Stegostoma tigrinum: one gene and its partners. Each later gene encodes a partner of the first gene's protein in a complex. Links are inferred from orthologs where the notes say so. Each region holds a gene or a part of one and is shown in the gene's direction. Other genes may lie near its edges. The genes, in order: plexin-A2-like, semaphorin-6A-like and nrp1a.

What was found.
Region 2: the proteins of plexin-A2-like (region 1) and semaphorin-6A-like are in contact, whole or in part, in a crystal structure (PDB 3AL8), measured with the Mus musculus proteins. The link is inferred for Stegostoma tigrinum from reciprocal best matches to the Homo sapiens genes PLXNA2 and SEMA6A. Residues at the interface, in NP_032908.2 of Mus musculus: Ala93, Cys94, Tyr95, Pro96, Lys155, Gln192, Asp193, Tyr194, Asp220, Phe221, Val222, Pro229, Ser230, Asp231, Leu386, Lys389, Val391, Thr394, Lys395, Ala396, Pro397, Val398, Leu407, Asp408, Ile409, Asn410, Gln411; in NP_061214.2 of Mus musculus: Arg108, Met109, Lys110, Gly111, Met162, Ala163, Thr188, Phe190, Leu191, Ile193, Tyr198, Thr206, Arg208, His212, Asp213, Ser214, Glu219, Gln266, Arg267, Glu270, Lys271, Lys393.
Region 3: the proteins of plexin-A2-like (region 1) and nrp1a are in contact, whole or in part, in a crystal structure (PDB 4GZA), measured with the Mus musculus proteins. The link is inferred for Stegostoma tigrinum from reciprocal best matches to the Homo sapiens genes PLXNA2 and NRP1. Residues at the interface, in NP_032908.2 of Mus musculus: Asp273, Leu274, Phe275, Glu306, Lys341, Gly342, Gln343, Lys344, Gln345, His348, Pro350; in NP_032763.2 of Mus musculus: Glu78, Arg80, Asp81, Lys83, Tyr84, Asp126, Tyr127, Glu128, Thr129.

The regions. Positions count from the first base shown.
Region 1 is NC_081374.1:20,434,859-20,445,004, reverse strand, and holds the start of plexin-A2-like, read left to right. Parts: upstream 1-5,063; 5' UTR 5,064-5,273; intron 5,274-10,146. UniProt on the Homo sapiens protein: Coreceptor for SEMA3A and SEMA6A. Necessary for signaling by SEMA6A and class 3 semaphorins and subsequent remodeling of the cytoskeleton. Plays a role in axon guidance, invasive growth and cell migration.
Region 2 is NC_081356.1:76,490,720-76,501,963, forward strand, and holds the start of semaphorin-6A-like, read left to right. Parts: upstream 1-6,176; 5' UTR 6,177-6,194; intron 6,195-6,249; exon of another isoform or gene 6,250-6,344; intron 6,345-7,504; exon of another isoform or gene 7,505-8,036; intron 8,037-8,714; exon of another isoform or gene 8,715-8,799; intron 8,800-9,019; exon of another isoform or gene 9,020-9,104; intron 9,105-10,310; exon of another isoform or gene 10,311-10,399; intron 10,400-10,409; exon of another isoform or gene 10,410-10,750; intron 10,751-11,244. UniProt on the Homo sapiens protein: Cell surface receptor for PLXNA2 that plays an important role in cell-cell signaling. Required for normal granule cell migration in the developing cerebellum.
Region 3 is NC_081355.1:129,161,221-129,172,075, reverse strand, and holds the start of nrp1a (neuropilin-1a), read left to right. Parts: upstream 1-5,875; 5' UTR 5,876-6,937; coding exon 6,938-7,007; intron 7,008-10,275; coding exon 10,276-10,450; intron 10,451-10,855. UniProt on the Homo sapiens protein: Cell-surface receptor involved in the development of the cardiovascular system, in angiogenesis, in the formation of certain neuronal circuits and in organogenesis outside the nervous system. Mediates the chemorepulsant activity of semaphorins.

The DNA.
Region 1 (10,146 bases):
ATGTTAAATATGCTGCATTATTCAACTAAAAAAAATCAGATTTATATAAGATCCTGCTTAATAATATTAAAATATCCCATAGTGCATCCATGGAGTATCAATCAAAATTTGATACTGCACCATTCAATGGATGAATGTTAGGTATAACATGATGCCCATACATTGTTCACAGGAAGATTAAAAGTTCAATCGTTTCTGTGTCATGAGATACCTGTTCCTTGTTAAGTGGAACTAGAGGCTCTGTAACTAATTTTATGCAAGATATTGAAAAGATAACAAGTCGTACTCCACTTGATGACTGTGTTAGGACATCGGGTGAGACAGGATTGGCCTCAGTTCAAGTATATTAAACAGTGTTACATGCTACAAAAAGTAACTGAGGTCACACATCAAGAACGGTTAATCAGGTGAGATATCAATCAGTTACCAGGAAGTTTGGTATTATACTCCAAAATTAATCTGAACAAATTTGCATTAAGTGGAGAAAATATGTGCTTCAAAGGAAATTAAATACTGATTTCAGCATATTTCTGTTACTCAGCCTAATTTTGTATAATTTTTAGTTGATGTGTATCCATGCATAGCCAGATGCATTGCATGATAGTTTAACTATATCCATCCAAAGTTATTGCATATGCTAGTTTTGTATTGTACAAAGTTAGATACAGTGTCATGCAACATAATTTATCATTGGCAATAGGCTCTATATTAACCTCTATGTATCTTTTCAGTTTCCATAACCTGAGATGCTTTAGAGATCATAAATATCTGTGTTAGTCTGTAGTTTACTCTTCGTACTGCAGAGTTTTGCTTTTGTCTTTTACAGATGTCTGGCCAGGGGTGTCTCTCATTCTTACAACTTGCAACTGGCATATGTTGGAAAGATTTACAAGGTGAAACTCAACCTGTTTGACTACATCAGAACACATCTTCCTTGGCCATCAAATACTTGGAATGGGATTTGAACCTGCAGCTTCTATTTCAGAGGCAGAGACACAAGCCACTGTGGCAAAATACACCTCCTCTCCCATGTATCTACATATCTTATAACATATATTCTGGTTTTTCATTTTTAAATTGGAGATCATAGAATCCCTAAAATGTGGAAACAGGCCCTTTGGCCCAACAACCCCACAATGACCCTCAAAGCATCCCACCCAGACCCATCTCCCTATAACCCACCTAATCTACACATCCCTGAACACTAGGGGCAATTTTCCATGGTGAAACCACCTAGCCTGCACACTTTTGGACTGTAGGAGGAAACTGTAGCACCCAGGGGAAACCCACACAGGCATGGGGACAATATGCAAACTCCACACAGACAGTCACCTGAGGGTGGAATTGGGTCCCTAGTGCTGTGAGGCAGCAGTGCTAACAACTGAGCCACCATGCCTCCCCAAATCTATAATATCAAAAGGTATAGTAACAAGAGAAGGCCATTTGGCCCTTTGAGCCTCCTCCATGATTCAGTAGGATCATGACTGATCCAATATTCCTCACATCAACTTTCCTGCCCTTTCCTTGTAAACCTTGATTCCTCTACTCATCAAGAATGTATCTCTTTTGGTTTTTCTTTCAGTTTTTATTAAGAATGTATCTCAGCCTAGATTGTGACTCCAGACCTACAGCAATGGTTAACAGCCCTCTGGCCAATTAAGGATGGACAATAAATGCTGGCCTAGCCAGCGATGCCCCAAACCAATGAATTAATAAAAATACCTCAAATATTCATAAGGATCTGCCCCCACAGCTCTCTGTGGCAAGGAATTCCAAAGACTCACAACCTACTGAGAGAAGAAATTTGTCCTCAACTCAGTCTGAAATTGGCACCCCTTTATTCTGAGACTATGCCCTCTGGTCCTCGTCTCTTCCATGAGGGGAAACATTCTCTTAGTATTTACCCTGTCAAACTCCTTAAGAATCCTATATCTTTCAACGAGACCTCCTCTTGTTCTTCCAAACTCCAGTGAATAGAGTCCTAAACTGTATCTTCGTTTTTTTCTCAGAAGGTAATTCCCCCATACTAGGGATCATCCAAATGAAATTTCTCTAAATTCCTCCAATGAAATGATACATTTCCTTAAATAAGGTGACCGAAGCTGCTCACAGTGCCTCCAATGTGGTCTTTTTAACATCTTGCACAGTTGCAGTAAAATGAGTATCAGCAACTTCAATAGTATGCATTGATGGTACAAATTGCAATAAACAACAAACGAGTATTCATAACTATCAGAAATAATGGGAACTGCAGATGCTGGAGAATCTAAGATAACAAAGTGCGAAGCTGGATGAACACAGCAGGCCAAACAGCATCTCAGGAGCACAAAAGCTGACGTTTTGGGCCTAGACCCCTCATCAGAAAGGGTCTAGGCCTGAAACGTCAGCTTTTGTGCTCCTGAGATGCTGCTTGGCTTGCTGTGTTCATCCAGCTTCACACTTTGTTAAACTAGTATTCATGTTGCTCCTGTTCTGTCTCATGCATAATACTCACTGATTAACTTTCCATGAAGTGCATTCATCATTTCAGGCATATGTTTCACCAAATGTGTGTAGCTTGGTCTCATCAGCAGAAAATGAGCTGAATAATCTTTTTTTGTGATTTTCGTTAAGGAACAGAGAAGGGTGTGAATTTTTTATGATGCTTAGCAGATCTCTGAGTTTCTCTCAATTGATTCTTGGAATGTGGATGATGCTGGCAAGGTTGTGTTTATTGGGCACTCTTGAAAATGTATGCCCTCTTTTTCAAATTGCTGTACTGGAATCTTTCACATCAACCTGCCCAGAAAGAGGGGTTCACGGTTTATTAAGACAATCAGAAAATGTTGGAAGTGCTCAATAGGTGTCAGCATGCATGGAGAGTGCAACAGAGTTAACGTTCCACATTTTGGCACATCTGAAGCCAAAGGAAATAAGGTTGTCAAAGTCCTACCAGACCACAGGGCTGCTGTCTCATTACAGAGTGACAACTGGTGGCTGTTTAACCTGTGGTCACCGTACCTCGGGGAAGGGGAGAAGCTGAGGAAGGCAGTCCTCCATCATAACATGTGGGAATGGTGTGAGAATTGAAACTTCACTGTTGGCAACTCTCCACATCACAGACCAAATGACCAGCCAACTGAGGTAACCAACTCCTTTAAAACAGGGATAATGGGAACTGCAGATGCTGGAGAATCCAAGATAATAAAGTGTGAAGCTGGATGAACACAGCAGGCCAAGCAGAATCTCAGGAGCACAAAAGCTGACGTTTCGGGCCTAGACCCTTCATCAGAGAGGGGATGGGGTGTGGGTTCTGGAATAAATAGGGAGAGAGGGGGAGGCGGACCGAAGATGGAGAGAAAAGAAGATAGGTTGAGAGGAGTGTATAGGTGGGGAGGGGATAGGTCAGTCCAGGGAAGACGGACAGGTCAAGGAGGTGGGATGAGGTTAGTAGGTAGGAAATGGAGGTGCAGCTTGGGGTGGGAGGAAGGGATGGCTGAGAGGAAGAACAGGTTAGGGAGGCAGAGACAGGTTGGACTGGTTTTGGGAAGCAGTGGGTGGAGGGGAAGAGCTGGGCTGGTTGTGTGGTGCAGTGGGGGGATGGGACGAACTGGGCTGGTTTAGGGGTGCGGTGGGGGAAGGGGAGATTTTGAAGCTGGTGAAGTCCACATTGATACCGGGGTTCCCAAACGGAATATGAGTTGCTGTTCCTGCAAACTTCGGGTGGCATCGTTGTGGCACTGCAGGAGGCCCATGACGGACATGTCATCTAAAGAATGGGAGGGGGAGTTGAAATGGTTTGCGACTGGGAGGTGCAGTTGTTTATTGTGAACCGAGCCCCCAAGACGACTTTCCATATTAAGCAGAGGTTCACCTGCACATCTGCCAATGTGGTATACTGTATCCATTGTCCCCGGTGTGGCTTCCTCTACATTGGGGAAACCAAGCGGAGGCTTGGGGACCGCTTTGCAGAACACCTCCGCTCGGTTCGCAGTAAACAACTGCACCTCCCAGTCGCGAACCATTTCAACTCCCCCTTCCATTCCTCAGACGACATGCCCATCATGGGCTTCCTGCAGTGCCACAATGATGCCACCTGAAGGTTGCAGGAACAGCAACTCATGTTGGGAACCCTGCAGCCGAATGGTATCAATGTGCACTTCACCAGCGTCAAAATTTCCCCTTCCCCCACTGCATCCCAAAACCAGCCCAGTTCGTCCCCTCCCTCCACTGCACCACACAACCAGCCCAGCTTTTCCTCTCCATCCACTGTATCCCAAAACCAGTCCAGCCTGTCTCTGCCTCCCTAACCTGTTCTTCCTCTCACCCATCCCTTCCTCCCACCCCAAGCCGCACCTCCATCTCCTACCTACTAACCTCATCCCACCTCCTTGACCTGTCTGTCTACCCTGGACTGACCTATCCCCTCCCTACCTCCCCACCTATATTCTCCTCTCCACCTATCTTCTTTTTTCTCCATCTTTGGTCCGCCTTCCCCTCTCTCCCTATTTATTCCAGAACCCTCACCCCATCCCCTCTCTGATGACAGGTCTAGGCCCGAAACGTCAGCTTTTGTGCTCCTGAGATGCTGCTTGGCCTGCTGTGTTCATCCAGCTTCACACTTTATTATCCTTTAAAACAAGGTTGACCTCGCCGATAAGCACTGACATTTTAAAAACCGAAAGAGCTGTGAATGCTGGAAAACAGAAACTGCTTGAAAACCTCAGCAGATCTGGCAGCATCTGTGGAGAGAAACTGGAGTTAAAATTTCCGGTCCAGTTAACCTTGCTCAGAACAAATGCATTATGCCACCAGTGGAGTTCCTCTTGGTAACCTTGTGAATTTTGAGGAATAACTATGAGTAGTTTATCTAATAGTAAAAAAACCTTTCTGCAAATTCATGCATTCAAAGACTTCATGGCGATTGACTGACTGTCCTGCTGTGGTAACAGTGGGATAGTCGTGAAAGTGATGGCGGGGTATGCTAATGAGTACGTAAAATGCTAATAAACGTAATAGGCTAATGAGTGCGTGGTATGCTAATTGTGCGTATGCTAATATGCGCTATGCTAATGAACTAGCGGCAGAGCTGTGCCTGCGCTGGGACCAGGAGAGAGAGAGAGAGAGAAAAGGACGGAGCTGCTCTGAAGAACTACATTTAAAAGAGGAAGCTGAACGTAGTCTGTTCAGGTCTGAAAGCCGGGAACGCGCTCAGAGGAAAGTGCAGCCAGCCAGAAGCGGAGCATTGGAACTGCCAGCCAGAAAAGAAGAATTGGTAAAAGAAACCACAGGCAGTGAGTGGAATGTTTTCAATGATTAATGTAGAGAGAGCGAGAGGGCAGAACGGAGTAGACAGAAAAAAAATGCACTGAGCATTTTTCTTTTGAAACCAAGTATGAGTGGGACATTTCTGGTCGGAGTGCAGCGACAGGCAAACAGGGGTATGGGGTGACTGGTGGGAAAGGGAGGCGGCAGGTTCTGGGGGAAGAAGTTGCAGCCCACAGTTAACTGGCAGAAAGGGAGGGATGAAGGAGTCCTGTTTGCAGGGAGAGCTGAGATACAGAGAAGGAGGCAGATGGTCCCGGGATCCAGAAACACGGGCACAGAGAACCCAGAGCCTCAACAAAATCCCAAACTGTTCGCTCGCTCGCCCTGGAGAGCCTGGCATCAGGAGCGCTGTAAAGAAGCGAGTGAGTGAGTGTCTGTCGGCTGGTCAGCGATTGAGTTCCTGATCGGTTTGCTCCATATACTGCACTGTAAACAGAGGATGGGACCGAGAAAGGCAAGTGACTGATGGATGGGGAGATTACAGAAAAGCAGATGGGAGGCTCCAACTAGGATGAAATTGCAATAAATCTGTCAATTCATTCCTAATAGTTTTTCAACCAGGGCGAATTAGGCGTTTTGAAATGTGTCAGTAGCTTGTGCGGACCAAATCACTTTCTAATAACTCCTTTATTTATTACTCCTGTATTATCTCTGCTTGACATTTTTGACTACAGTTGGGAACCATGCATTTGTGGCTTTCGAAAGAAATTGTTTCGGTGAAGTATAATCCTCGGGGAGATTCTGAATGCACCCTGGGTGAATGTAATTGGACTGTGGTTTTACATGGATCTGTGGGGAAGGTAAAGGTGTTTCGAGTCAGATTCGGTTCAGAGAGTAACAAGGCGAAATAGTCATGTGTGAGGAAACGTTCTGTCAGTAACAAGGTTTGAGTAAGGAGAGAGCAAGAAAGATGTTTTTTTTAAATATATAGGGGAAATCTATATGAATAAAACATAATGCGGAGTCTATACATGTTGAAGTTCTTGTGCAGTGCATTTACTTATTCTTTAATGGTGTGTAGCAAACAGTGTGGTACAGTTCCCTGGACATCGGGGATGTTGGATCAATGCATAGCAGTAACAGATGCCTTTTTTCTGTTACTTTCCTCTACTGATGGATATAGCCAAAAGGGATCTGTTTAATTACATTGTAATATGCTACAGCTATGGAGCAGATTCAGAAAGAGAACAGAATACACTGTGATAGGAAAATGCCCCAAAGCAGTATTTCTTCTTGCAAATGACCTGAATTACAATCTACCTCCAAAAGCAGTTTTAAAACTTATTTCAGGCGATATTTTACAGACTTTTTATTTTAGCTTATACTTTTTTTTGTTTAACTGGCATTCATTCTTGGGCGTCTCTTTAGGGGTCAGGTCGCTTTGCCGAGAAAGAAATTGTTCGCAGCAGGGGGAAGTGGAGGACAATTGTACTGCTCAAATGTGCCTCCTGGTGGCTCAGGAATCATCACTGACCATGTCTACAGATGTGCTTATAAACAGGAGCTGGAAGGTGAAAGGAATAATGACAGAAGGGAAGCTAGAGAAATAATGCTCTTTCTTTCAAACAAAGAGCAAAACAAAGGTTGTGAATAAAGTCTTGTCTTAACAGGACAACTGGCAAGTTTTTAACACGATTATCAGATACTGTTGGTATTGTTTTCAGGCAGTGGAGCTTATAGTTTATACATGGGCACATATTTGAACATATCTAGAAGTATAGTCATCTGTTTTTTGGCACACTTCTGGCATCCTGGAATCTTCTGCATGAAGGACCCAGAAAACTAAGTTTGAAAAGCAGAGGCAGTCTGAAAAAAGTGAAAGGGAAAAGTGGTGGAGGGTGGGGGGAGCGGAAGACGTTCCCCATCCCACCACTACCACCACCAAAATCTCACGACCAAACCACCATTCGTGAAGGATTACCTTAAAGAATACTTCGCTGCTATACTGAAGTCTTGTTTTTTAGTTTAGTCTAGTTTCATGTAACAGAAAAGTGAGCAGAAAATTTATTATCCTTACCTGTAATTGTATTAACATGTTCCACACGTCTGGATTTTATATATAACAAAGATGAACGATCGGTGGTCCAAGTTCTGTGTTCTTCCAATACCTGCCTTCGTATTGGGTGATAGGAGACTTGCTTCCAGAAGCATTACTGAATTTGCAATTTCCCCTTGCCTGTAGCTCTCCAAACTGTTTTGCAGTGATCTGTGCTGCAGTACAGAGTTAGATTCAGCGTTCCATGGTTGAACTGTTCAGAACAGTCAGTAAACTTGAATGGCTAAATGGATGAGAATTGCTCTTGGAGATGTATGAACAGCCTTCCATGATTACAGTCAGTTATTTAGCATTGTGATGTGCCTTTAAACATTTGTACAATGAATGCCGCTGTGAAGTCTAAGATTAACAATTGTCTTCTCAAGTGATTGTATTAGCTCATTTTTTTCAAATCAGTCTAATATTGGCAAAGTAAATATTTGCAGTCACTTGCTATACCATTTCAATTTGTGAAGATGTTAATTTGCAAAGCTGTAAAGACAGCAAGCCTATAAATCCAGCTAAAAGACTAGTAGGTACAAATTATTTTCCACCATCACCACCAACTCCCATCCAATTATTTCCCCTTGCCTTCAGAAGGAACTTCACACTTCTATATTATCACCATAGGTGCTACCTTATCCTTTTGCATTTTACATGCAAGGTCATGCTTTATTTGAGTATTGGTAGAAAGTGCCGGAATTGTTGATTGTAGGGCACGCTTAGCCAGTTCTTGAATGTGTTTGTGTTCAAAATTCCTAATGTACTTTTTTTTTGGCAAGGATTGCAGCACAGTGACCATTAGGAAAAGCCTTGGCTGATTTACATTCTCCATTGCAAATGTAAAGTGTCAGGGCCAATTGTAGTGACCTGCTGCAATAATACCGGCAACCTCCATTAACACAGCACCTTTAGTGAAATAAAACATCTCGACGCACTTCGCAGGAGTATTATAGAACAAAGTGTGGCGATGAGCCAAGTATGAAGACATTAGGTCAGGTAGGTTTTGAGAAGTGAACTTGTATACAGAAAGAGAGGAACAGAAAGTGGAAGGAACTGTTGCTCCAAAAGAGATCAAAAAAATAGGATCCAACCCTAGGATTGTGAGATTCTTTAGTGCATAAGGCAGAGAACTTAAACCTGTTGAGCAATTGGGGGAGCTCTTGGACCAAACCTTTTCCCACTCCAGATCAAATATAAGATGCAGAAACTCATAGCGACCATTATTCTTCAAGTAATGTTGGGAGTGAGAAAGCTTTCTCTGATCCTGTTAAGCAAACTCTGCTTAAGAATCTGGTTATGTTTCTGATATTTATGTTTAAAAAAGAAGTGCATGTTTTACAAGCAAAAAAGAACATTCAGTTTTCAGCACTATAATTCATACCATCCAGTCATTTTGAAAAGGAAGGTTCATGCATGTCATGAGCTATAAGGTCTGAGTTTGGATTTGGCCTTGAATGAGGGCCTGGCTGGCAAGATTATGATTTTTTGACATTTATGCCCGAGCTTCCATGATGATTTTGCAGCCATGTGCAGATCACTGGGTAATGCACTGACTGGAAGACAGGAAAGAAAATATGATGCAGGTTTCACTTGGATTGAATTTGGTGACATTTATGGGAGGACGTTGAGATTCTTTGACTGCCAGCTTTGCAATGACAGTTACTACACTTGCAGTCCCCTCCGAAGCTTTCTCCATTTAGTCCCATTGTATACTAACAAATGGAAGGACAGTAACAATAGAGGAAAATGCAACAAGTTTTGAGGGCCCAACTAAACCAATTAATATTACAAGAATACGTTTTGAATGACAACTTTGAAGGTTTTTGGAATCAGCTCTTGCAGTTATTAAATTGAGAAGTCCTGTGGGAGTTGCAGGTGACAGTGGCCTCTTTATATTGACTTCTCCAGTTCTCCTGTTGAAGAATGTGAAAATCTTGCCAGCATCAGTACCTTTCCTCACTTGATGATTTTGAAAGGCTTTAATAATTTATTTTGAAAATGTAAGTAAATAGTATTCTACTTATTATTTTTGATATTTTGGATGAAATTAATATAGCTTTGAGTATCATTAAGTCTTGATTTAAAGCAGAAAAAAATATGTTTTTTGAGCAAAAGGGTTTCTAGAGGAAGCAATTATTTTGGAATTCCTCTCTAAATATTCCTACTTTAAACTAAGACTCTAGCAGTTTGCTACCTATAAAAAGATGAATTTCTTGGTAATGAATCTTCCTTTTGTATTCCAATACTTCTAAATTTTTAGTGAAAGTGTGTGAAGTCCTTGGTAACACATGCTTATTAAGTGTGAGAACATTTTTACATATGCACATTGAACAATTACTCTTTGCAATAAATAGCATGGTTTTGTGTGGGGGAGGTCGTGCCTCACTAACTTGATTTTTTGAGGAGGAAATGAAGATACAGTTAAAGGAAAAGCAATTGATGTCTACGTGGATTTCATTAAAGCCTTTGACAAGGTCCCTTGTGGCAGACTGGTACAAAAGGTGAGGTCACATAATATCGGGGTGAGCTGGCATGATGGGTACAGAACTGGCTTAGTCATAGGAGACAAAGGATAGTGTTGGAAGGATGCTTTTCAGAATGGAGGGCTGTTACTAGTGGTGTTCTGCAGGGATCAGTACTGGGGCTTCTGCTGTTCGTGATGCACAAATGATTTGGAGGAAAATGTAGCTGGTCTAATTAGTAAGTTTGTGGATGATGCAAATATTGGTGAAGTTATGGATAGTGAAGAGGATTGTCAGAATATACAACAGGATATACATCAGTCGAAGGCATGGGCAGAA
Region 2 (11,244 bases), on another chromosome or scaffold:
CTGAGAATTCTGATGACATATCCCCAAAAAAATTTCCCACAGGTCTCAAAAAACATGTATGCATTGTAAGATATGGTACACACAAAGTGCTTAATGCTAAGGGGCATACCCCCAGATTAGTGACCGTGCTTTCAGGATAAATACAAATGTACTGTCTGAAACATCCATACATTAATCACAGCTTGTAGCCATTACACTTATCTTTACTGACCTTGCAGGGTCATTAAACTTCATTCTAGTCATCAAGAGGTTGCTACTCATTTTGCCACTTCTTTCATATGGAACTAGAAACTCTGAGCACTCAGACCCAACATTGCATCTCCAACTTCCACCCTGTATTAATTTTCAGTTAAGAGGATATTCTTGACTTGTTCATGTTGGAACAAAGCCTTTATTTTACAATGCACTAATTTGAGTTTACAAAACTGCTTCATATGCTGAAGCTCCACCCCCATAAAGGCTTCCTTATTCACATATTTTCTGAACATCTTAGGCACAGTGTTCATTGCTTGGGCACTGGATTTTGATCCAGTCACTAATAAGCTGACCTTGTGGTGGGCCATTTCCAGGGTCAGTGGCAGAAACATTTACCACGCATTAAGTCCTCCTTTCTCTACGATACTTCTGGCAGCAGATCATGAAAATTGGAATGTTAGAGCCCAATAACTAACCAATTGAGCCATCAGTGCAGGATCCCAAAAAAAATGTCCCATTGTTAAAGGCTGGATTTTGGCTGCATTCCTCAAAGGGCTGAAGCGCTAGGGAAATACAAAGCATTCTTTTATATATATTGCAGAGTTTTTCAAATTAAATGGTTTTTTTCCTAAATTTAAGCAGCGTTGAAAGCAGCTATTGTAAAATGTTGTGATTTGTATTTGTCAGGGGAGAAACATCAATCAAATGTAAGAGTAATATGCATTTAGGATAAAAGAGACACATTAGATTTAATGTTTCAAAACATTTTTTCAAGGAATCTGCTGCGCACTCACATTTAGTACCATGCTTGAAAGTCTGATTTGTGCATTTATAACACAATTTGTGGATTTACCATTTCATGGTGCAATATAAAAGAAGTAGAACCAGCTTCTGGCAACAAAAGACCAGTTCAAGTTTTCCTCAAGCTGCCAAAATCAGGGCAGTCCCAATGGCAAACATAAATAGCGCTGGTTACTGATAGAAACATAGGAACAAGATCAGTTTATTCAGCCCCTTGAATATGCTCAACAGCTGAACTCAATCAGTTAAATATACATATAAATATGAACTAGATATATGCCTCAACTCCATTGCTCCATAGTACCATTGCCCAGAAATAATCAAGTTATAAATCTTGGATATTTAAATTGACTCTGTGGCCACAGGCTTGGTGGACAGAGCACTCCACATTATTATTGCACTTTGTGTGAAAATGTGTTTGTTGATACTGCATTTTACTGGCCCAATGCTATTTTAATTGTGGATCCTTGTTCTGGATTCTTGACCAAAGGAAATAGCTGATCCACATCTGCTTATTGAGGGATTGAGAGCCAGAGGGCAACAATTTCGGGTGATTGGCAAAAGAAGTAACTGCGGCATAAGGGGAATAAAATTTTCCATGGTGCATTCATTGATTTTTTAAAGCTGGTAATCTGCAGGTAAATCTTTCATTCCAATACGATATTTCTAGCAAGGTGTAGATCAAACTGTAGATACAGATCTGGGGCACTGGTTTCAGTCTTTTTGATAACATATTCATTTCAGTTCAGACGGCTATACTTTATTGCTGTTATCATGAACTGTCGCCAACTGTTATCAGGTGATCACTGCAGTCATCTTCAGTCACATGTATCTTTTTTAAAGCCATTTTAGTCCATGAAAGTATTAAAAATCAGATGACAGAAGTTGAAAATTCATTGTGTATTTTTAGCACTACCATAACACTTTCCCCATGAAAAGTTCTCTAAGATTCCTTTATTTTGTACATTGTAAAATCTATACACTGCTTATTATTTTAAACAAAAATAATCATTGGCAGAATTTTATGGATTTCACATTAAACTATAAATTATTTAGTCAGACTTCATCATTTGAATTCTATTTGCTGAACCATCAGTGACACAATAACAATACAATCCTTACTAAAGACTGTACAATTTTCTAAGAATGACATATTTTCAAAATCTCCAACCATTGCCATTGTTAAATGATATTAATGTTAACACTGCATAAAGTGTTATGATTATACTTTGATTTCTTGACTAACCTGATCTGACATCACTTATAATCTGACCTTCATAATGCAATATGTTCAAGCTCATTTATGCACTCAAATGGATGGCAGTGCAAGCAATACCTACCTCACCAGTGAGTTAATGCCAGATCTATTTTGAACAAATGCAATCATACTGGGGAAGCAGGGATGACAGTGCTAATCAAATCCCCCTTTTTTCTCCCTTATTACCTCATCTGACGGTAAGCTTTCCATCTGGATTGGGAGTTTCCCTGCTTCAATTTTATCTTGGCAAAATAGTCAATCACTAGTGAGTGGATTGATTCTTTTACCATAACTAGGACATTCCAAATTTCTCATTATTCTGAAGACATTAATTGGGTTCAATTCATATCATTTTGTCCAAATTAATTCCTGATGTTTATTGCGTTAGCCTAACTAGCACTAGGAACACTGCAATTACAGCAACATATTTAGGGTGGGAGACTAATTAGCTGGGTTTTCCATATCTGATTGGCCAAGCAAGATATTTCTCAGAGATAATGGGAACTGCAGATGCTGGAGAATCCAAGATAACAAAGTGTGGAGCTGAATGAACACAGCAGGCCAAGCGGCATCTTAGGAGCACAAAAGCTCCTTTTGTGCTCCTAAGGTGCTGCTCGGCCTGCTGTGTTCATCCAGCTCCACACTTTGTTATCCAAGATGTTTCTCATCCTCCATGGTCACACATTAATGCTACTTTTCCACAGTCATTTTTACAGTTCACCTTCTTGGGGGCCATTGTGTTAGAACCATTCTCATTATTATATTATTAAATTCTGTTTATTAACAACTAATTAGGCATACTCTTGAGTGCAGCTCCTAATGAACTGACACAGCATTTGAACTCAAAGAACCTGATTTAACAGAGTAAGAATGATGGGCACTAATTTGCAGTTACTCAGATTTTAGTGAAAACTCAGCTATGTTTGAACACTTAGTTGTGGAAACTGTAGAGATCCACCCAAGATTGACTATACCACTAAACTAAAACAGAGCACGTGCAGATGCTGGAAATCTGAATCAAAACCAGAAATTGCTGGAGAAACTCATCATTCTGGCAGCATCTGTGGGGCAAAAACAGAGTTAACGCCTTGTGTCCAGTGACGACTGGACATTAACTCTGCTTTCTCTGCATAATTGCTGCCAGACCTGCTGAGTTTCTCCAGCAACTTCTGTTCTTGTTGACTATACCATCACAGACCTCAGAAATGAAAGAGAGAATATTGGAGGGAATGTAGCTATAATAACAGCACCGTGTGATAAAATCACAGATTTAGTACAGTGAAATCAGATCAGCTGAAGTGATCAAAATTAAATAAAGGCTGAGTCCACAAAATCTTAGTCCATCACCAGTTTTAAGCCAGTATTTGTTCCACATAATTCGCAGATATGTCAATCTAGAAAACTGCTCAATAGCTTCAAAGTACTAGCTCACCTTCCACTAAAAGCTAACAATTTAACAAGTCTGATAATGAATCATGAAAGAAATATTTGCAATTATAGCCTTTTTCACAACCATCTGATGTCTTAAACTTCTTTATAGCCAATGAAGCACTGTTGCAGTACAGAGGCCAACATAGCAGCCAATTTGCACAAAGCAGCCTCCCCACAAGCTGCAATGTGTCAATGGATGGATAGTATGTTTTTGTGACGTTGAGTGAAGGACTAAATGGGAAATTAGAGACAAGCCTCCAACTCTTTCTAAGGTAGTATCACATGATATCTTACGCCCATCCCAGAGAGCACACAGGGGCTGTGTTCTTATCCAAGAGGCATCACCTTGAAAAGTTGTACACTGAACTGTCAGCCTTGATTTTTGACTTAAACCTTGGTATGGAACATGAACCCGGAATCGTATGATTCATTAAAAAGCGTGTTACCAATGAAACTAGAGTTGACAATACAGAAGTAAATACTTTATATTGGCTTTAAAACTTAAAGTATAGGTTTATTCAACAGTATTTCATATGCTGAAGGTAAATAAATGGAAGGACATGAAAATTTGAAACAGAAAGACAAATGCTGAAGATATAAAACCAGCAACTTTTTTTAATGAGTACATTGGCATGCTTGAATAGAAAGTTATAGATTTTAACTTTCTAGCTCAGTCTTATGCAGTCCTGTTTTACAACATGGGTGAAATTATTAAGTTGTGAAAAGTAAAATCAAAGTGCGTCATTCAGATTTTCAATCAACTTAAGAAAATATATAATGAATGCAATAGTCACTCATGACATACAAGCTTTTCTGGGTATTCTATCTTAACGTAATGAAGAGACTTGTACACTGTGAGCGTCTCTCAAATGATTTCATCTGACCTCCTTGGTTATGGTAGGAGCACTCACTGCAGCAGGTTCAGGGATGGGGTGTGGTGGTGGTGGTTTGGGAAGGCAGACATATTGCAATCCCCAAAAAGTCTTCAATGGCAAAACAGGCAAGGAAGACAGTGTTACATCAAGTGCAAAGACTGTAGGGGCCAATTGGGACCTGTTGTAGTTTAATACGTCTCTGGAATCTGATCAGCAGTTGACAAGGTCTCCCTGTTAAAAAAAAGCAATGCACAGGCTACTAAAGGGCCCATTTCCCAAGTCCTATGGTGTTGGAGGATTGGCAATGGCTGTAAACCAAGGAATCCCTCATTAATAATCTGCACACAGTCATTCTGCATAAAGGTTATTGTGCGTATTGGGACAAACGTGTTTCTGGGTAGCAGCAAGTGTTTCATAAAGCTGTGTCATGCTTTCAGTCCCAGCCTTTCATTCATGAAGCAAAACAAATCCACTAAGCCCAATTCTGCCCTGTGTGTCCAAAGATTTTTAGCTCAAAAATGAGCCTGTTCAGTTAGGTGTAGATGCTCAGTAGGAACCGTGATATCGTCCTCTAATTCAAGAGTGACTGCAAATGTCCAAAATCAAACAGAGAATTGCAGGTGCTGGAGATTTGAATCAAAGCCAGAAGTTGCTGGAGAAACTCAGCAGGTCTCAGAAACTCAGGCTGCAACTTGGAAAGAGAAAACAAAGTTATTGTTTCCAGTCCAGTGACCCTTGGGCAAAACTCAAGGTATCCAACCATCTTGTCCAGTTAACCAACCTGTTCTGTCTCCTCTTATAACATTCCTTTTTCTGGATCCAAGGTTAATGTTTAAGCCACACTCCATTTTAACTTGCTTAAATATCTAGGCTAGCATCTGTCTGCAGTACCAAAAGTTCTACCTCTTCTCTGATTTTTTTTACCATCGTTATATTCCCTGACTCTCAGACATCCATTCCCCCTTCCTTCTGACTGCGCCATTCAGTTTTATTTTCCCTTCAGTGTCAACCTTGCACTAAGCGTGGAACTAACCGATTTCCTCCTTGGGAATTTGCCTACAGTTTAGAATCATACAGTGCAGAAGGAGGACGTTCGACATGCACTGAACCTAGAAAAGAGCATCCCATCCGGAACCGATAGCGCACATCCCTGTAGCTCCACATTTACCATGACTAATCCACCCAAACTGCACATCCCTGGATACTACGGGACATTTTTACCCTGCCAAACCCGCTTAATCTGCACATCTTTGGACAGTGGGAGGACCCGGCGGAAACCCTGGCAAACACGGGGAGAAAGTGCAAACACTGTGAAGCAGCAATGTTAACCACTGAGTCATTATTGCCACCCTTACAATGGAAAAAAATCATTAACAGCAACAGTCGGGGTTATTGAGGTTCTGATTTGTGGAGGGGTTTTGTTTTGGCAGCAAATACTGATATACATCGTATGCATTCTGGGTTAAGTAACGACCCACGTGCATAATTGAATGATATCTTACATGTAAATACGTATTATTTATTGTACACGTGGAATGAATGTTTCATTCATGCTCAAAGCACAAAAGGGTCGTGGTTGAGACATTGAAAGTATGGATTTTTGTGGTGGAAGAAAGCCGCTATTGCGTTGTTTGGTATGTGCAGGTTTATTTGAATTTTTAAACTGGCCCCAAATTAAATATCGCCTGACAACAAGGATCCAGCTCCAATTAGACCACCACGGATACTGCCGGACGTGTCTGTTATTTTCCCCAGGTCAATTTCTTATTACATACTTGGAATAGGTAAGACTTGAACCTAGACCTCCTGATTTTAAAGTAGGGACACTTACCACTGCGCTATCTTATTGTACTTTATTCGCAGTAGTTCTGCAGCCATTAATTTGGCCCAGTTACCCCGGAAAACCGGGTGAGGGACCTGCAGCAATTTCAAAGGTAGTTCGCCAGAATAATTGGTTTGCAGCGACCGGAAGAAGGCGAAAACTGTGGTGTAGTTAAAATGAAACAATCCTTTCCTCTCTATAAATGTGCTTTATTGAACAAAATAATGTAACTTCGGATCTGGAATTCGAGTTTTTTTTGCGCGCTTCTCTACTTCTTCAGACTTCGTCGTCTTTCCATCTTTCTCTATTTGTACGTTTTTTTATGAAGCAGTTCGCAGGTCATTTCATATCGGTGGTCTTTCAATCACTTATTGCCTCTGCTAATTATCCCCAACCCCCTCTCCTATTTCAACCCTTTTTGAAATGCTTGTTGATGCCTGATAAAGCGTCTACATCCAAACTGCCAATTAAAACAAAAAAAACAGGCAGAAACAAGTTAGTGACATGATTTCTATTTACAGTTTGTTGTTTTTCTCCCTGCAGCGTTTTGTTTTTATGTCGAATTTCCAGCATTTGAACGGGATTTTTAAAAAGTTCTTTTTTGCAGATTTTTATTTAGAGGAGTAGCTGGATGCAAGTAAAATGTTTTAATTCGGAAAATTCAAAAAAAAAGCTCAGGTAGCGCAAAATATGCAAATCAAATGGAAAGAGGGGCAAGAGTGGAACTTAGAATAGAAAGGTTTCTTCTGTCGCTGTGAGCGAGAGTTTGTTTTTGAGTCGACCAAAATGTAACGTTTTGTTCTGCTATTTAAGAAGAGACATGTACCTTGTATTGTTTACAAACATTAATAGGTGACATCTCCGCCAACCTAACTGTTTCAAAATGGGTTGCCTCAAAGTAAGCCTAGGCAGGGAGTCATTTTCCAAAGTGTCAATGGACTTTCAAGGGATCTGTTTAATCACTTCCCGGGAAGTGAGCATTTCATTCTCCAAACGCCTCCATAAATGTTTCAGAGGATCTAGAACCCGGTCTGGGCTGCGACTGGCGGACTGGTTGCCGTGTGCGAACGTCCCGATCCGGTCCATAGGAAGGAATCCAGTCCTGGATTTGAGTGCCGTCTCCTTCCAAATCGGATAGCCAGTGACAGCTGGAGTTGGAAGGCAAGGATGAGGGGGAAGGAGTGGGGCAGCCGCTCAGCACACAGCCTGCCTGCCCTCCACAGCTCCAATTAAGATGATTCGGAGCGTGTGTGTCCAAGCCCGTGTTCGCCTGCTGTGACAGGATACCGGACGAGGAACTGGAGACTTATAACCTTCCCCAACAGCCCGGAGAAGAGAGCGGCTGCGACTTGACCTAAGTCCGCCCGCTTTGGTAATCGGGTCGAAATTGACGAAGCTTTCCCGAGTGGATTTCCGGGGGGGGTTTGGAGGGGGATCTGTTATTTTTGTTTTGGAGCAGCAGAAGTTCCCCATGCTGTCGGTCTGGTTGGGGCGAACAACCGTGATACTGTTCCCCCCTTGTCAAGACAAGGCATCTGCATCCTCAGAGCGCCTGACAGGCACTGTGTGTGTGGATCACATTGGCCAGAGCCAGCCTTAAATGGATTACTAATGAGGCAGCAGTGCCGCTGGTTCGACTCCCCAAACCTAGAAGGTAGAGTGCTGTACTGTTCCTTCCAGAGATACTAGCCTCTTTTTGTTTCTGTATGTTGCGAGCACCGGTTCTTTGTTATTTTGTGTGTGCCTTACCATGAGATTTGTTCAACTAATTGTTCCCCTCTCACCAGTGATCATACCCACGGGGAGCCGCGTGTATATTGTCGCTGGGGCTGATAGCTCTGTTGAGATTCTGATCCTCAGCCCCTGACAGTAGGCTCCAGAGAATTGGTGCTAACTGTCTACTGGTGTTAAATATCGCCTTTGGATTTATGTTTGTTCTTGTTAAATGCTGAGTCCAGTCTTAATATTATTTCCTCCTAGAATAAATCAATTTTCTATCTGGTACTTAACGATCGTGCACAAAGCACTATGCTTTTTTTTTAAAAAAGCAAAATCTAATGGTTGGCTACTTGTCAATTGCTAAACTTGCCTTCAAAATTCTCGCGACCTCGTTTTGTTTCTTTTGAACAGTGATTATTAAAAGACAGTATTTTTGAACGCCGGAGCGTACGAATATATTTTCCTATTTGCCAAGACTTGATAATACTAGTTAGGAGCCCGATTGTGTTTACAAAAGGGCTTGGACAGGCGGAGTAGGTGAGGATCCAGGATTTCGAAGCAAGCGTCCAGATTTGTACAGTGTGTGGACCGCTGGCTTCGCTCCGTTCTCTGGGAGTGGACGCGGGGATGTAGCATTGCTACATTATATGTATGAAGGGGAGAGGAACTTCTTTGAGTATTTAAAAACAAACGAGAGCGTAAGTTTGCAAATTCTCCACGTGTTGTATTTTTTTTGGTCTGGTCTGACAGTAGCTTAGTTGGAGATATTAAATGCCCGGAAACAGGAGGGTCCCTTGTGTGAGCGGACGGGGAAAGAGAGCGAGTGAAAGTTTGGTCGTTCAGTTGCTATTGCAATGTGTGCGACTAGCTGTGCACGTCAAGTGTCGGGCAGTCTTTCTCTGAGCTGGGGGTGGATCTGAAGCGCGGAGCATGGGGTCAGGCCAGGGGTTAGTGCCCAACAGCTGCTTTTGCATCCAAAATACTGTGTGGAATAACATCACAGGTACCGAGCAAATTTTAATGGGGAGGGGCTGCGGAGGGGACGTTCCTTTTGGCTTCCACTGTCTGTTGTGAAGTGTTGGCGGGGGCGGCGGGGTGGGGAGGAGGTAAACAAACCTGTTTCAAGAAATACTTGATCCGCATGTTGATAAAATAATCTGAAGCGTGCGGCGGGTAGGATACCTTGACTGCAGTGGAAGTTATCTCCAGAGACAGCCTTCGCACAGCCAGCGTCAGAATTAAGCTGACCTGAGTTGGTGCATATTCTGATATTTGAGTATCATTATGTGCAGGGGAAGGTTAAGTGAATCTGGTAGTCAACAATGACCAACCACAAAACAAAATCAGAGTGGAAGAATGTGCCCTGTCAAAATTGGGTCTGTGTACGTGTGGATTCTACAGTCTTGAGTTCTGGCTCAGCTAGGGATCTTCATCTATTAATCATGGAAGCTACTTTATTTATTCAGTTTCCATAGTTTCAAAGCCTCAGATAGTGTTTTGGTGTCTTGGGAATGGCTCGAAATACAGTTGGGCCACATGTTCACAGCCTTTCTGGCAGCAATCTGGACCTTTTTCATTGTTTTTAAATTAAAGAAGCTTCAGTGTTTCAGGGGCCTTTTTCCTTTTATCTTTGCCTCTGTGTTGAACTTTGGGTGAGGAGACTTGACTCTCGTTTGCTAAACTGCTGCTGGTTCGTTTAGGCAGCAGAAACATTTTATTTATCAAATGACACATGTAGAGTAAAATGATGGGCTCTCCAATCAGCATTGAGTATTTGAAGAAGCCAGTCATGATTTCATGATTATTCATCAGCAGATGCTGTGTTTTCTCATTACAACCTTATGCCGGAAACAGATATTCCATATGGATGTGTCTGGCACTTAGAAGTGTTAACCCAGCTTTTTGAGCAAACTGCTCAGTGGCTTTCCCATAGGCCACGACTGAGTGACAGACTGGCTCATTTTGTTAAGCAGAGCCTCGTCCATGTCTGAGGATGTTGGTGTTTGTATACATGAGGGTGTGTTTATGTATAAGTTCCACACCCTTATGTTCTTGTCTCAATGCTGGTGCAGGAATCATGACTGCCCTTTCAGAAAAGGGTTGTGTGATCGTGGGAGGTGCGATCAGCATTCTATTCCCCTACCCATGTTGTGCCAAAGGGATGGGGCTTGCTGGTCCTTCCAGTTTTCCCTCTTTGGCCCTCTTTTTGTTCAGTGCTCCATCTGGTGGCCTGACCAAGAATTGGCGCTAACGCTGAGGCCGGCTGAGTTCAAATCTCAGTCGAGACGACGATACAAGGTGGGACTCTTTGATACTGCGATTCGTGCATTGTACCATTTTGAGCTATCACGTTACTATGGAGAGGAATGTGTTAACCAAGCCCAGTATTGTTCTAATATATTCGGTTGCAGTGGTGTAATAAAATGCATCCTTGCAATCCTTTCATTGAGATGTGCTTGAAGAGAAAAAAAATTGTGATGTTGTGATCCGATATGAGTGAAACGTTACGGGATCAAAGGCTGGCCATGCTCACGGGGGTTGCGTACATAAACCTGACTGTCGAATGCTCCTGATTCTGCACTGAAAGTGCTCGGGCTGCTGTTGAATATAGCAGGGCAGACAAGAATGTTGCTATTGTATCATCAAAAAGTAAGTTGAGCTTCTCTGTAGCTGTTGTGTTACTTTTGTTGAACGATTTCTTCGCTCGCAATCATAGAGCTATTTCGTAAGCTCTAATTACCGGATGCATCTTTATTTTACTCTGCACTTGACTGTAGTTCGGTTCTGTTGTGTTCCTTGCAGCAACAGTATTCGGTCGTAAATATATCTGCAAATGTCAGGTTGTTTGTGATTTCTTTGGTTTGATCAAAATATATATCTATAGAGTTTTAAAATGCAAATATTTCTTGGGTATGTCGGCGTTCTTAAGGAAGAACTTTAGGTCTAATATTTTGCAATCTTCTGACAAGCAGCATACTTTCACGGCCCTTTATTGGATTGGTCTCCGTACACCCCACATTATCGTCTTTAGTGGATTGTGTATTTCTTTATCATTGATTATACAAATCTTGTTGATTTTGTTTGCTTGTTGAGTAATATTTGCAAGAGTACTGCTGACTGCCTATACTGCACCCCGAGAGTGA
Region 3 (10,855 bases), on another chromosome or scaffold:
AACCCACACAGATAAGAAAGGTTTGAGGTTTTTCACTTCCTGCTCCTATAACATCAAAGAAGAATCATTGTCATCCTCCATGAGAATATTTCTTTAACATCTTGGCAAGAGTTGCTGTAGCTTAAAATAGGCCTATATTTCATTGCAAAGAACACTTACAATTCCAGATTGTACTTCAATCCAACATTCCACAATATTGTTAGTAATAAACTTACATGCTCTTATCTCGCCTTTGATCTCCATCCACAGAAAAATAAATGTGGAGTAAATCATTAATTTCTTGAATAAGTTGTCGAAATGTACTATGACACACCTACACCATTAGACTATGGCACGCCTATGATTTGCCTATGAGACCCGAACATAATTTTTTAAACAGTTTCCATGAACATGGTCAATTTTCTTGCAAGTTCTTAAGGTACCAGTGTACTGCTGGTATAATTTATAATTCATATAATGGTAATCCTCATTACAGTAAATGCTCAATAAAATCAGTGCCTGTTTATTGCTATATTGTGGGTAAAGAAGGAACAATGCTGTGATATACTAACTTGTACATCTCGGGAGAAAAGCTTTAGACAGTAATGTTCAATGGTCATTTCAAATCACCGATTAACTAAACTAACTAGAGTAAATGTAAGGACAATCAAAATTAATTTTATAGACTTAAAGTGTAATTTGACATTATTATTTCAATTTAAATGATAATAGCTGATGCTGCCTTCTAAATGTGAAGACAGGGAGAGTCATGAATGGAGATGTTATAGAAGGGTCAAAAATATATTGACAGCTCATTGGCTTCCTATTGAATGCTAAATAATTAGCAGAATTTTCATGTGGCATTTCCTTTGAAATTGACAAGAAAGGCAAATTAAATTTGTCACTATCTCTGGCGACATGGCAACCTTCACCAGTTACCACTTCCTTTAGGCAAGGACAGAAATTCCATTTTGTTTCGTTGACAGCTATGTTACTTATCAACCTTAGGAGCTTGTTCCAAATCCTGAACATCAAGTATTAACAAGCAAGTTGCATTCAGATCTACTTGCTCTCACCATGCAACCGGCACATAAAAAAATATAATTTTCACATAGAAGAAGTGTTAGTACATTAGCTAGTTTTTCAGTAAAGCAACATTCCCACATGGTGTGTAGATGTCATATTTTGAGATATTTCATCTATTTTGAAAAATTTTGAGTTTTTTAATGTTAACAATCACTGCATGGTTAAAAATTGGTGGTTTGCTTTTAGTACTCATGTGTTAACAGGTAATGGAAAGTGGAAGTACACTTAGAAATTTATTTATCTGTTAGAGGTTGGATATGCTGCAGCATATGATGTAGCTCCTGACTCCTCAAAGCCTCTGTACTGTCTATAAGGTGAAAGCTGAAAACGCGAAGGAATAGACTCCAATCGCCTGCATAGGTCATTCAGTCTGCTTAATTAACATCCCACCCACAGGCTTAAAAATCTACTGCCTTTACAGTGGCTGCATTATTACTCTTACTCCTTCGTTTTCTGCCATCTGGAAGATCAAGCGCAGTAGGTGCTAGGAACAACATCACCTACACATCATACACCCTGGTGATATGTTGGCATCCTTTAATTATCACTGGGATAAAATCCTGGGAATCCTGCAGTGTTTCAAGAAGAAGGTTCATCACTGTCTTCTCAAGGCGTGGGCATTAAATGGCAGCTTTGCCAGCAAAGACCACAGCAAATAACAAAGACTTCCCTCTTGAAGATCCTGACATGTGAAGACAGGTTTTATTTGCCTTGTTTACATCCTCAAAGCTCAGTCAAGAACTCATTCGTAGAGTCATGGAATTATGCAGCACAGAACAGGCTCTTTGGCCCGTTGGGTCTGCACCACCAAAAAGACACTACTACCTACACTAGTCTCGCTTACAAATGTAAAACCCATACCCTTGAATGTTATGCCAGATCAAGTGTTCATTCAAATACTTTTTAAAGATTGTGAGGTTTTCCACCTCAAAGAGCCTGCCGGCAGTGTATTCCAGATTCTCACCACCCTCTGGGTGAGATAGATTTTCCTCAAATCCGCTCTTGAAACCTCCTGCCTTGCACATTAAAATGAAGCTCTTGTCATTGATCCTTCGACTAAGGAGAACATCTGCTGTCTAGTCCCCTGACCATGCCCCCATAACCCTATAGTTCTCTAACAGGTTCCCCATCAATATCTTTTGTTCCAAAAAAAGCAATCCAGCCTTTCTCCAAAGCTGAATTGTTCCATCCTAGTGTATCTACTTCACTACTCCAGCTACGGCCTGGCTAAAGTCCTATACAGTGATAATGGGAACTGCAGATGCTGGAGAATCCAAGATAATAAAATGTGAGGCTGGATGAACACAGCAGGCCAAGCAGCATCTCAGGAGCACAAAAGCTGACGTTTCGGGCCTAGACCCTTCATCAGAGAGGGGGATGGGGAGAGGGTTCTGGAATAAATAGGGAAAGAGGGGGAGGCGGACCGAAGATGGAGAGAAAAGAAGACAGGTAGAGAGGACAGTATAGGTGGGGAGGTAGGGAGGGGATAGGTCAGTCCAGGGAAGACGGACAGGTCAAGGAGGTGGGATGAGGTTAGTAGGTAGGAAATGGAGGTGCGGCTTGGGGTGGGAGGAAGGGATGGGTGAGAGGAAGAACAAGTTAGGGAGGCAGAGACAGGCTAGACTGATTTTGGGGTGCAGTGGGTGGAGGGGACGAGCTGGGCTGGTTGTGTGGTGCAGTGGGGGGATGGGACGAATTGGGCTGGTTTTGGGATGCGGTGGGGGAAGGGGAGATTTTGAAGCTGGTGAAGTCCACATTGATACCATTGGGCTGCAGGGTTCCCTAGCGGAATATGAGTTGCTGTTCCTGCAACCTTCGGGTGGCATCATTGTGGCACTGCAAGAGGCCCATGATGGACACGTCATCTAAAGAATGGGAGGGGGAGTGGAAATGGTTCGTGACTGGGAGGTGCAGTTGTTTATTGCGAACTGAGCGGAGGTGTTCTGCAAAGCGGTCCCCAAGCCTCCGCTTGGTTTCCCCAATGTAGAGGAAGCCACACCGGGTACAATGGATACAGTATACCACATGGGCAGATGTGCAGGTGAACCTCTGCTTAATGTGTAAAGTCATCTTGGGGCCTGGGATAGGGGTGAGGGAGGAGGTGTGGGGGCAAGTGTAGCATTTCCTGCGGTTGCAGGGGAAGGTGCCGGGTGTGGTGGGGTTGGAGGACAGTGTGGAGCGAACAAGGGAGTCACGGAGAGAGTGGTCTCTCCGGAAATATACAACTGCACCTCCCAGTCGCGAACCATTTCCACACGCCCTCCCATTCTCTAGATGACATGTCCATCATGGGCCTCCTGCAGTGCCACAATGATGCTACCCAAAGGTTGCACCGAACAGCAACTCATATTCTGCTTGGGAACCCTGCAGCCCAATGGTATCAATGTGGACTTCACCAGCTTCAAAATCTCCCCTTCCCCCACCGCATTCCAAAACCAGCCCGCTCGTCCCCTCCCCCCACTGCACCACACAACCAGCCCAGCTCTTCCCCTCCACCCACTGCATCCCAAAACCAGTCCAGCCTGTCTCTGCCTCCCTCACCTGTTCTTCCTCTCACCCATCCCTTCCTCCCACCCCAAGTCGCACCTCCATCTCCTACCTACTAACCTCATCCCACCTCCTTCACCTGTCCGTCTTCCCTGGACTGACCTATCCCCTCACTACCTACCCATCTATACTCTCCTCTCCACCTATCTTCTTTTCTCTCCATCTTCGGTCCGCCTCCCCCTCTCTCCCTATTTATTCCAGAACCCTCACCCCATCCCCCTCTCTGATGAAGGGTCGAGGCCTGAAACGTCAGCTTTTGTGCTCCTGAGATGCTGCTGGGCCTGCTGTGTTCATCCAGCCTCACATTTTATTATCTTAAAGTCCTATACGGCTCCTACATAACCTCCCTGCTCTGTTATCATCTTACATTTTCACCAATTCCTATGCTGGGATGTGGACGCTACAGTGCTTGATTAGGTATTAGGTTGCTCGTCATGTGATGTTACCGCTGTGCTCCCATCTCCTGTCCTCAGCTGCCCTGTGGTGTGTAGCTGTATCATCCACAAGATGGATGTATAGCCGAGGTAGGACCTCAGCAAGTATACGCTTTCCAGCAAGCATAGGTAGAGAGTGACCAAAGCGGGAGGCTCTGACTGATCTTGTCCTGCCAACGATAGAGATATCGAGGCCGAATGTACCCACTTCCTTCTGCTGCTACCTTAACTGGGAACAGTAAGCTCAGCTTTCGACTATGCAGGAATCTTTGTTTTCTCGGTGTGACACGGTCCGAACCACTTCGGCAAACAGTCACCCATCCCAAACCCTGGGAGCAGCTCGAGGAACTGTATTCCAACAAGATTCCGCCATGTCCAAATGTCTGACATAATAATTTGCCCGTTTCCATAGCAGTATGATCGGCAAGAGTGCTAGGGAAGATCTGGGAGAAAATGCCGGAGGCATTTGTGTGGTTTTAAATAAAAAGATGTGAAAAAATATGCGTTTTGGACATTTGATGACAAGAAATGATTGACAAGGTGTGAAATTAACAAATGTCCACTAAATATGGCCCGAGGCAATGACAACTTTCTGCGCTGAGAATGAACAGTTCGCCAATCAAGGATGGTCAATGGCATTTGTAGCGCACTTTTCCCACCTTCAGACAACATACATCCAAACATGGTTCATGGAAGACAGTCTGACAATGAGCACGACTGAGAGGGACCACCATAATGACTGTGAGCCACATGCGTGCCTGAGACGCCCATGATTCAGATTATCTGGCGCTGAAGCCGTGCGCCTCCTGTTGGCCGGTACGGAAAGTTCTGCCGCGTTTGGGAGATGGTTCCCTTATCCCCACATCAACAAGCTCGGATATGTGGGCGCGGCATCTGGCCAGGTTCGCATGTTGGGGAATGTGAAATCGTTTGAAATTATTTTACAGCCACATTTTATTGTTGTCGACAAAATTGCTCCTCAGGTAGGTATGTAAGCCCGGAGTTTCACGAAGAGGGATGGGACTGCCACTTGTTGCTGCAGCCGGTTCGCCTTCCCAGCTGGGTGAATGAAGTTTTGTTTTTAGAAATGTCTGTTCTTTTCGCCCCATCCCTTCAGCTGGAAGAGTTTCGTCTCCCTGAGTCCGGGCAGGTAAAACAGTTCCGTCCGAACCAATGACAGGCTGCCAGCCAGAGCAAATGCTTCAGAGATTTTGCTCCAAACAAATTCAGTTTCAGTGTATACGGTAAAATTGTTATGCGCATCAAATGAGGGCGTTTCTGAAGCGTGCACACAGCATTTGCACTGGAATTCTGTGTTTGAATGTGCACAGAATTAGTGAAAAATTTGCATAGGAATTTTGTGTTTGAATGTGCACAGAATTAGTGTAAAAAGTTTGCACAAGAATTCTGTGTTTGAGTGTGCACAGCTTAGTGTGAAAATTTTGCACAGGAATTCTGTGAATGTGCAGTGTTAGTGTGAAGTTTGCACAGGAATTCAGTGTTTGAGTGTGCAGAGTATTAGTGTGAAGTTTGCACAGTGATTCAGTGCTTGAGTGTGTAGAGTATTAGTGTGAGAAGTTTGCACAGGAATTCAGTGTTTGAGTGTGCAGAGTATCAGTGAGAAGTTTGCACAGTGATTCAGTGCTTGAGTGTGCAGAGTATTAGTGTGAGAAGTTTGCACACTATTATTGTGTGCGTGTGAAGCGTGTTTGCTGATGGTGTGTATATGGTGTTCACGAGACACATAATACAATAACGTTTTGTTTTTTACAGCTGCATATAACAGGGAATTGCAAGTCATGCAGTCAAATCATTTGGCAGACCTCCCTCCGTAGACTGCCTTAAGAAAAACAGCCCGAGTCTGCCGACCTTTTCAGTGTAGTGTATTTCTCCCTGAAAGTGTTGATCACCTGGAGCAGTTGCGCGGCGCTGAGCAAGCGTGTGTTTGTTTGTGTCTGTGGAGAGGAGTCCGCAGGCGCTTCGCCCTTTACTCATTGACCAAATCATTAGTATTTTTGAAAAAGAGTTTGTTCGCCTGCCGGAGCATGGGCGTTCCTTTCTCTCTCTGTTTGCTGGCTGGCCTGTCACAGAAATGCCGCTGAAGGAACCGTAGCGTCTGACTTCTATTTCGCAATTGAGTTGGGCCAGGAGAGGCGCTTTGAGTTTTCAGTGACTTGGCGTGGCTTGGAGCTGATCTCCCAGCTCTCCGTGTCTTTCTGTATCTCTCTCCCACCCTGTATCCCTTTGTAGATCTGCTGTATTATACTGACAGCCAATCTTCCTCTCCCTTTGTGAATACATTAATAGAGGTGTCTCAGGCGGTGGACTGTGAGACTGTGGGGAAGGAGTGTGGACAAGTCTGGCTGGTCTTATTTCTCCCTTTAGCGGTGCTAAGTACCCAGTCTTGCATCATTTATAATTAGATAAGCATGTGAACGCTTCTTTTTCCTGCCTCGAACTAGTTTCAGATCTTTGTGGATTTGACATTTTTAATTGTTTTAAGAATATTTCCTAGACAGTTTTTATTTCTGTCTCCCAGCTGGCTGCTTCTCCTATCTGCTCAGCAGTGAGGAGTCTCCCTCTGTGTGTGTGTGTGTGTGTGTGTTAGGGAAGGAAGGGGGGGGGGGTTGTCTGTGCAAAGCTTTTATTGGCTCGGGATTTTTTTAGGAAATGGCAACGCCAGACATTGCAACAGGAACCGTGTATCCGCAAGCGGCGAGAGGAAGCTAAAGGATGAGGTTGCAGATCGCCCAGATTCTCCCAAAGTAACCAATTCAACTCAAGTGCGCCCTTCGTTGTTGTTATCGCTTCTCGGCTTTCCTCCCTCTCTCTCTCTCTCTCCCTGTCGCTGTGTGTGCGCGCTGTTTTCGTTCGCAATCTCCAGTTGCCAAATGGGGAAGCATCAACTCTCCCTCTACCTACTGGCCGTGGCCATCGGTGTGTCCGGGGCGGTCCGAAACGGTGAGTATTAACGGCGCCGCTTTTTCCCTGTCGTTTCGGCCCCCTGAGCCCCGATACCACAACCACTAAAGGGAGGACAGACCAGCAAATGGGTAGGGTCTCTGTCCACTCGGCAGGGCGCACGCAGTATAGCGTACACTGCGAGGATCTGGAGGGGCTCGCTTCTCCTCGTTTCGTTTTACAACAGGCTGCTGAAGTCTCCCCACACAGGGAGAGGGGGCGGCGGGGGGACTGTGTGGAGGCAAGTGGCATTTTGCAGGTTTATCCGGAGACGCCAGAACCTGAAGGTACCCTCAGCCTGGCGACGCTGCCCAGTCGAAGGCAGGAGCCTGGACTAGGGGCAAAGAATGACTTTCTGAGACCTGTTGTGACTTTCTCAGACACTGCCCCTTCCCAGGGAGAGCGACGCGGACAGTGAGCACGCCGTCAGTGTCCTCTCCCTCATCCCGAGTTAAGAGGGGAGCTCACTGAGATCTTTCGGTCTGCTTTCCCCAGCGCCTGGCACACTGGGCTCCCGTCCATGTGACTCCCTCCCCAGGAGCACGCCTCACGCTGCCACCAGTTGCCGGGAAAGCGGTTTCTTTTCGGGCAGGGCCCAGGCGAGCGATGGCCAAACGAAAACCAGAACAACGTGTAACAAAACAAAAGCAAAACCTCCAGAAAAGTGTTGGAGACGACTGACTGCTGTGTGCTGCACTGAGCTGCAAAAGGGGGTGAACATTTCATTTCTGGCTCCCTGCGTTCCTCCAGCACTTCCTGTTCTGAGACTCGGCATGTTAAGGCTATTTTTAAGACGAGATAAACGCGAACTCTCCCTGCAGTGATCAGGAGAGGTTAGGATTTGAGCACTAATGTTTGTCCAGAAAATAAGAATGAGCTTTTGGGGGAATTTCTGGAGCTGCTTTGTGTATGTGTGTGTCGCTGAATAAAGCTGTGAGGGGTCAGATCTTATATCCAGCTCTTACACTCCGGCGCCTCTTCAGCTTGAATCTTGGCTGAACTGACAGCCGTGAGCTAGATGAGGAAGACACCCCGGCTCCTTCTTATCTGCACAGACACGCTGAACCAGGTCACGAAGCGGTTCTTTCACACACACACACACACACACACAGCCTGCTGGCCGCAGCAATAAACGAGCAAAGCGGATCTCCCCGTCCCCCTCCCGGCGCTTCCCCAGCCGCTTTGCGCCTCCTTCCCGCTCTCTCCCGCAGCCCGGCGTAGCCCGGCCACAAGCCTCAGTCCTTTCTCAGTCAAACGGGAGGGGGTCAGTGTGGAGATGGGAGGGAGCAGGACAGGTAGCCAGCTACAGCGGGCTGGAGTTGAAGTGATGCCACGACATGACTAACCCGGTGTTGTTCAGAACAAACTTTGACTGCGGAATGTTTAGCGCCGTGCACGGGATGTTGCGAATGTTAAAACCACAGTCTTTCGGTCCCTTTTCCAAGTGGGAGAACTCTCCAAACAGAACGCTGACCAATCTGTGCACTGTTCCTCCATGCCGGAGGAATTTCATGTCCACTTCTCCCGGGCCAGCTCTCTGTTCCTTTAGTGAATCCCCTCTACACCCACCTTGAGATTGAAGACGAGTGAGAAGAGGGTGGAATCTCCCATTGTCCGACTCCCACCAATCGATGTGTATGTGTGGGCTGTGTTTGTGTGTGGGTGAGTGTGTCACCATGTGTGAGCGTGGTGTGTATATGTTTATGTAGGTGTGTGTATGTATGGCTGTAGGTTGGGTTTGTGTCTGTCCGCGTCTGTGTGCCTATATGTGTGTGTGTGTCTGTGTGCGCATGTGTATATATCTGTGGATGTGTATGGGTATGTGTGTGTCTATCAGTCTGTGTGGGTCTGTGTTTATGTGTATGTATGTCAGTGTGGGTGTGTGTATGTGTGCATGTGTGTATCTATCTGTGTATGGGTATGTGTGTGTCTATCAATGTCTATCAGTGGGTCTGTGTTTATGTGCATGTGTCTGTGTTTCTGTGTGTGTATGTCAGTGTGGGTGTGTGTCTATCTGTGTGGGTGTGTGTATGTGTGCATGTGTGTATCTATCTGTGGATGTGTATGGGTATGTGTGTGTCTATCAGTGTGTGGGTCTGTGTTTATGTGCATGTGTCTGTGTTTCTGTGTATGTATGTCAGTGTGGGTGTGTGTCTATCTGTGTGGGTGTGTGTATCTATCTGTGGATGTGTATGGGTATGTGTGTATCTGTGTGTGGGTCTGTGTTTATGTGCATGTGTCTGTGTTTCTGTGTGTGTATCTGTGTGGGTGTGTGTCTATCTGTGTGGGTGTGTGTCTGTGTGCATGTGTGTATCTATCTGTGGATGTGTATGGGTATGTGTGTGTCTGTCAGTGTGTGGGGGTCTGTGTTTATGTGCATGTGTCTGTGTATGTCTGTGTGGGTGTGTGTCTATCTGTGTGGGTGTGTGCGTGTGTATGGAAGAGTTGGTGGTCAATTCGGGCCGGCACTGGGGAAAGCCGGGGCTAGCTACAATCTAAAACATTTTCTTTCTCGGGATTCTTCAGAGATCTAAACCCTCCAAGCACCTTGAAGTCGAGGAAGAAAACCTCGTTTTGTGAAGGTCCAGGTCTTTCACCTGGTTCTGGATGAAATAAAATGTTAAAACAAAATAAACAACTTTCCATGCTCAGAATCCGTTCTGACTGTGAGCTGCCGCCTTCAGTAAATCAGGATTCTCCGTGGTACTGATAGCCTCCTGCTCACAGGGATGGGTCATTGCCCGTGGAAAACACACACCTCGCGCCTGAATTACAGGGAAATGTGCGGAGTTTCAAAATCTGCCAGATATTTTACAAAACAGGGCAGCATTCTGCTCAAGTCTTTTTAAGAAACAAGGCAAGATATAGTCCGAGTATTTTATGAAAACAGAGAGTTGGAACACAGAAACAGACCCATCAGTCCATCTCTTCCGCGCCGACTAGTTATCCTAAACTGATCTGGTCCCATTTGGATCAATATTCTGGCAAAGCGTGTTATAAACCAGGGCAGGATTCTGACCAAGTATTTTGTAAAACAAGGCAAAGAGTCAGTCTAAGTATTTTATGAAAACAGATAAAGATTCTGTCAAAGCAATTTATACAACTGGGCAAGATTCTTTCCAAGTATTTTACAGAATCCGGTGAGTTTAGAGAACTGCTAATTCTGCGCGGAAGAAAACGTGAATCCTTATTAGCGAGTCCGAGATATGAAGGGAGGCTGGAGATTCCGTCGGTTTGGTTTCTATAAATGTGCTGTTATCTCATGTAGATCGGTGTGGGGAAACTATACAGATCACCAGTCCTGACTACCTGAACTCTCCTGGATATCCCAATTCCTACTACCCCCGGGAAAGCTGTGCCTGGGTGATCCGAGCACCCGAAGTTTCCCAACGGATAATGATCAATTTCAACCCTCACTTTGATCTGGAGGACCGGGACTGCAAGTGAGTCAAACCAGATTGGGTCGTATTTAGATATAGTGACCTCTAGTGGTTACAAAATATTTACTGGAACTTGCTGAGACCGAGCGTCGACCCTATTTGCTTATCTGCGCAGTGTAGACCAGGCTAATGTCCTTCTCTATATCAAAAATGCACGCATCACAACTAACACACCGGCTCCCACATGTCAGACGCTTCACGGTTTCCCTGTACTGGGCTATTTTCTGCTAGTTTCTGTTAAACCTCAGGATTGTTCATCATTCCAGTTACTCTTAGAAATGGATGTAACGCACGTGGTTAGGCAAAAGAAGTGTTTTGCTGGGAAGGCAACAGGAGTGTGCATTATGTCATTGGAATTGGTTTATTTGTGATTCAGCCAGTACATGATTTTGGGAAAGACTCCCACCA